Xenopus tropicalis: one gene and its partner. The protein of the gene in region 1 purifies or fractionates together with the protein of each later gene. This does not show direct contact. Links are inferred from orthologs where the notes say so. Each region holds a gene or a part of one and is shown on either strand. Other genes may lie near its edges.

Region 1 (2,727 bases):
TTGTAAGAGAAGGAAATGATCTCCTCCAAAAAAAAAAAAAAAAACACAACCCAACACCAATGCCGATAAACAGTTCTTACCAATCTCTTTAGCCATGGCGAGTCCCTGAGGGTAGGTAATTGGTGTGAGCTTCTTTTCTTTCAGCTTCTCAATAGTGTCTTTATCATCTCTCAGATCAAGTTTGGTGCCCACAAGGATAATGGGAGTGTTGGGACAATGGTGTCGCACTTCTGGGTACCACTGGGCAGAAGACAAACATTTACATAAGCACCAGAACAGTAAAGGGCTTCAGTTTCCTTTACAGAAAGGTTAGTGCCGTTATGTTATGTGAGAACCCAAGTGTTAAACAAAAAGAACAATTCTACAGAACAAAGGGTGTAGCTATACATACCCAGCCCTTGATCACCACCGCACAAAATGTAAATGCGGGTGAGAATGAAGGAGCCACAGTTACTGCACCAGGTGAGGGGGTTGTTGGCCCGGGCTACACTGTCCCTACAGTCAGGCCACCCCCTAAAGCAGTTTGCAGCAACCTGTCCTTTATACTCTACATCATTTCATATGGCTTGTCCATTTAATCACTCTGGCATGATAGCTGTAACTTATTATTATTATTATTATTGCTGTATGAGATATTCTAGGCCTACTACATGTAATATCTCATACAGGTTCAGATTAAATTAAAATGATTATGGAGCCTCTGAGCGGTCTGGGGGACATAAAAATCTTTTGGAGCTCCAAATCTGGCCCATGGGTCTCCAGTTGGACAGCCCTGGTCTAAACCAACACAACCCCATGGCACTAAGACTATAATTTAGAAAGTAACAAAAGACAGCCCCAGTACACCAGTCTTTGTTTTGGACAATCTGTATGTAGGTCAGTGCACTGGTAATATTAATGAATGGCAGCAGCCCCTGTGGCTTTATGTCACTGCCCAAACACCCCTCCTTCACCAGTTCATGTCATATTAATACGCAGCATTTCAGGACGCAGCTCTTACCTTAGCACGAACATTTTCGAATGAGGCTGGGCTAACCAGTGAAAAGCAAATTAAGAACACATCCTAAAAAAGAAAACAAAATAAACCACTGTAAAAATTCAAGTTGGCCCTCTGACTGCATGACAAGAGACACATACAAAATAAGCGCAAGCTACAATATATTAACAAGAAAGAATAAACAGGAGTAAATAGAACATAAAAATAAAATCACTTCCTGTTATTTTTCTGTGTTACCCCCGATCAGGGTATAATTTGAGATCAAGGTGACATTAAAGCATTAATTGTGCGCCACATGCAAGGGAAACAAGCTCTGTTCCAATTACAGCCCACACCAACAGAAGGTGGTTTGCATTGCCACCCACTCAGCTAGCGAAAGGGGAGAAAAACTCACCGACACATTGGAGGCTTTGGGGCTTGGGCTAAGGGCCTAACAGAAAATATTTAAGTTCAAATGCAGATTTGAATCTACAAGGCTTATTTTCTGTACATTTCTGAATACTGTATGAAAAAAATGGATTTTCATACACAGAATATGCAATGAGATTATCTTGTTTGTAAACACTATTTACATGCAGCAGTCGAAAGCTATGTCTGTTGTGTACGCCGCACCTGAAAATAACACACTTCTCAACAGCCCTATCCCATAGCTTTATAGGGCAGGTCAGCATCCTTCAGGTGTGTTGCAAGTCATGAGACTAATACAGTGAGTCAAAACCATAATAACTGGAACAGCTTATCTGTTCTGGCTGCTAATCTCTAGCCAGATTCTCAGGCATACTGGTTCCCCACAGAGTGGTTTGAGCAGATCATGCAGCCCCAATAACAACGGATGCCTTAATAAGAAATTCCGCTATATTCATACAGGGCACAACAAAATTATAAAGGAAAGGCAGCCAAACACTGCGTGATGCTACCTGATTCATCCGCCCACTGGCTAATTGGCCAGACAGGAAACAACGGGGCTGTACATGGAATATCCAAATTTCTATTTATCTGCATACATGATCAGAACTACAGGAGGAGAAGTGGAGCCGTGGATCCTCTTCACTTCATTTATTGATACCCCATAGACTAACAGATATAGCGAGCTGGCATATTAATTGTATGCCATACACACACAGAGAACCATAAAATACTCAATTTTCTACAACTGTATAGGTGCATGCATGGCCAAGCTTAAAACCTCTGCTTTCATTGCAGTAAACACACATACAGATATGGTAAATTACATAAGCACCATAATCTCCCACAGGTTGGACAGGGGAAGGGGAGTGGATACAAACACAAGACAATACACGTACAAACAGGTTTGCTATGGAAGATACTGTACACATTACAGCATTTGTGCAGAGCTAGATACAGTATCCATGGCATCCTGTGAGTGTACATGGACATTGTGACAACTGGCAAAATGTAAACTTTAAATAATTTTAAATCAGGACTTATATGGTGAAAATGGAATAGTGCAGCTAAAAAATAATGCAGGAAGTCCAGAAGAGCAGGGTGTAAGTTTAATTACAATCTTGCACAGCAGGAGGTCCTGAGAAGGTTTTACATTGGCGCCCAAAGGATGCTGGTCATTGCTGAATAAGTATAAGCGATAATGCTGGCTTTAATGCAAGGGGTAACGAATCAGGCATTTACCGTTTGAGGGTAAGACAATGGACGTAATCTGTCGTAGTCCTCCTGTCCGGCTGTATCCCATAACCCCAAATTAACTGGTTTTC
Region 2 (3,500 bases), about 37 Mb from region 1:
TAACCTATGCTTTGACTATAGTAGTGCACAATGGCATGAGATTGGAGAGAGCTCCATTAGTTGAATTGCAGTCTAACAAATTTCCTTGTGTGACATTATCCTTAATGTACATAAAATCCTCATAACTTCCCCAGTCATTTGACTTACTTTGGGACCCAGAAGGCCTGGCTGATCAGCGAGTACAGTAGCAAGTTCTTTCAAAGCAGACCTTAAAAATTTGCGCCTTTCTCTGTGTGTTGCTCCTCTTAAAAGAGAAAAAGAAAAAACAGAAAAAAATTAAATATTTTTATAAGAATGGAGGGCTATTGCTGTTGCAGCCAGAAGTGACCACGTCACTAAACAATGATCACCTGCTGTTCAACTACACCCTTACTATGACTTCCTAGGAATAAATGTAAAAAATTCAACTACAATTCCATTAGTTATTCGCCTTCCCTAGATTTTTTGCTCCAGCATTGACCTTGTGCTGACTGCCTCATAAACATTTAAAGAACCGCTCTTTACGCTAGAAGACAAATTGCACTTCTGTACAATTTTCCACTCCTAATCCTTTAGGCTTTATAGCTGTTCCTATAAACATACTCAGCCTGTCACTGCACAAACTATCACTAGAAAATATTAAGGTGGGGTCCAACATCATTAGAACAGTTTTATTTATTTATATGTCTTTTCACTGGACTATACCAAAAGAGATTTGTATATAAAGAATAGACTTCTGATGCCTAAGAGAAAGCTACACAAAAAGTATTATATTTGATAATTAAGTTAACATAAAACATACTTAATGAGTAATTAACACTATGAATTTGCGCACACACAAAAAATTCATGAAGGCAGACCTATGTCTACACAAGGATACATAACAGTAGTAAAGAAATATTACTTACGCATGTGATACTGCATTCTCTTTACACTCCCTGATGTCATTTATCCTTTTGTTGTAGCTGGAATAAAAAAAAAAAAGTAGATATTTTATAGAAAAAGTCTATTTAGAGGAAAATCTTACTGCATTAACTTGTTTTAAGGCTTAAATGTGTACATATGTTGTATGCCATATTTCACATTTTTTAAAAATATCTGTTTGTAAGAGCATAAAATATATTGTCAGTTGCAGCAAAAGAAAAAGGATACAAAATAAAAATTGCAGCTGCATATTAACAAATAATGTCTGCTGTAAATGAAAATTACTTGACTATTTTCAGTATTGTAGAGATTCCCATAGAATCTACAGCCTAACACAACACTTGTACCACTCAAAACTTGTACTTAGCGGCCATACACAGGCTGATAAAAGTTGCATACGAACAGTGTTGGCAGCTTATCAGCCTGTGTATGAAGCCCATCAATAGGCCCAGATATCCAGTGATATCTCGGTGAAAATAGCCAGATGTCGATCAAGCAGGTTTAAAAATTGCAGGTCAGGGTGAGGGGCACATAAGCTGGATTATGCGGTCCTCGCTTCAGATGCCTGTATCCGGTCAATGTGATCTAAAGGTTTTGGCACCTCGAGGTGGGGATATCTGAGAAAGATCCACTAATTTGGTGACCTTGCCAAAGATTTAGACCCCACATTAGAGTATCAGAATAGGTAAACTCTAATGTGGGGTCTAAATAAGGCACAATTCAAGAAGATTACTCCAATAGTTTTGCAATCGCAGCCCAGAACCATGCATATATTAGGACAAAGACACACGTGGCAATTAAAAGAAAAAAAAAAACCTTGAAAAAGTTGCAGTGACTATTAACCACACCGTAAACTATGAACGATTAGTTGCGTTGACTCGTATATTAATCTATAGCAGTTAAAATAGCTGCAATTAGTCGCCGCTACAGAGTTTTTTTTTTTTGTTTTTTTTAGCCGCAGTGACTAATCACCCTGTGTTCTTGGCCCTTAGAAGTGTCCCTAATTTTTCATGAACCTTTACACCACACGGTAAAATATATTTTATGTATTTTAAACAAACACTGTAGTCTGCACCAAACTGGATTCCAATCTTTCTCTGGGTACACATTCCTCTGTGTTCACCTCACAAGACCAAGTTATCCAATTATGAACAGCACTAACAAAATTAATCAACATTAATTCACATAATTGGCACAGAACAGGATAGCAATGTTTCAGGTCTACATTGACCCTTTGTTAGCTTGACAAAGCGTCAATGTAGACCTGAAACATTGCTATCCTGGTCTGTGCCAATTATGTGAATTAATGTTGATTAATTGTTAGTGCTGTTCATAACTGGATGTATTTTAAACAGCTCCCTGGATTTCTGCAAACAACTGGCTACTACTCCTTGTCTTTAGATCCAAGGTGAGTGCTTCATATTATACAACTGCAAGTACAATTTTCATTTGTTTTTATGTCATCTATCTTCTCCTTGGGTGGGTTTAATAAACATAGCATATACATCCATCTTGTAACAGCTGAGATTTAACTTTGAAAATATGGCTGGATATAAAGCATATTGAAACAGTATTTTACGGAGCAATATATATTGCACAAAAATGTTGCCTTTTAATATTTAAATTTCAAGCACAAAAACTCAGAATTACTATAGTTTTATTATGGTGTTTCAAACAGAAAACAGGTTCCTGTATGTAGAACCTCCATTCTTCCTTTTAACAAGAAGCAGTGCTTTGGCACGATGCTACCACTATTATTCTGCACCTGTTTAAAATTTTAAAAAATTAAACTGAAGCTTGAAAATTTCATCTTTCATGCAATGAATCCCCCAGCAAGGTCTAGGTAACACTGAAGTAGTTACAAACCTTTGAAAGACATTCTGGTGCATTAAACTTGTTTAAAGATTTTCAAATAAAGTAGTAGTGTTTCGCTCACCACAACAAGTAGCCGTGATCAAAATGGCAAGTGTGCCAGGACACTTACCCCCCTATGTAATAAAAGGTGCTATGTTTGCCCAGAAGCAGTAACCCATAGCAACCAGATGTTTGTTTTTAAACAGGCCATCAGTAAATGCTACCTGTTGATTGGTTGCTATGGGTTACTACTGCTGGGCAAACTTAGTGCCTTTTATTACATTACATCCTTAAAACCAACTGCAAGGATTTGTCTTGTTATTTCATAGAAGGAAAAAAAATATTACAACACACTATAAAGAATTAATATAAATTCATATAAAAAGCAGCTGACATTTTATTCTAGCTGACCAAAGGAGAAGAATATCTAGGCTACATCACAAGTACCCTCTAATGTTGACGAACAGATCTTCTGCTGCCTTGTGGATATGAAAAACTTCATCTCTGTAAAGACAGAGACATGAACTGCTCTGAAGGGCGAGCTTCCAAAGATTCAATGCTGTAGCATCAGTGTTGAGTATTCCATGGCACAAAATAAATCCAACTAGAAAAAAAAAATGAATGCTCTGTCAAATGTTATTTCCAAATGTGAAAAAAACTCACTACAGTGTATTAAAATTACAATAATTCTAAGTAACTTTGCAATATACAATGATTGCAAAAGTTCTCTATTTTATTGTTAT

What was found.
Region 2: the proteins of rac1 (region 1) and nckap1 purify together in Homo sapiens (pull-down; 4 studies listed by BioGRID and IntAct, with this or other methods). This does not show direct contact. The link is inferred for Xenopus tropicalis from reciprocal best matches to the Homo sapiens genes RAC1 and NCKAP1.

The regions. Positions count from the first base shown.
Region 1 is NC_030685.2:25,468,543-25,471,269, reverse strand, and holds part of rac1 (ras-related C3 botulinum toxin substrate 1), read right to left. Parts: coding exon 2,645-2,727; intron 1,064-2,644; coding exon 1,001-1,063; intron 241-1,000; coding exon 81-240; intron 1-80. UniProt on the Homo sapiens protein: Plasma membrane-associated small GTPase which cycles between active GTP-bound and inactive GDP-bound states.
Region 2 is NC_030685.2:62,003,957-62,007,456, reverse strand, and holds part of nckap1 (nck-associated protein 1), read right to left. Parts: intron 3,362-3,500; coding exon 3,205-3,361; intron 945-3,204; coding exon 888-944; intron 245-887; coding exon 148-244; intron 1-147. UniProt on the Homo sapiens protein: Part of the WAVE complex that regulates lamellipodia formation. The WAVE complex regulates actin filament reorganization via its interaction with the Arp2/3 complex. Actin remodeling activity is regulated by RAC1.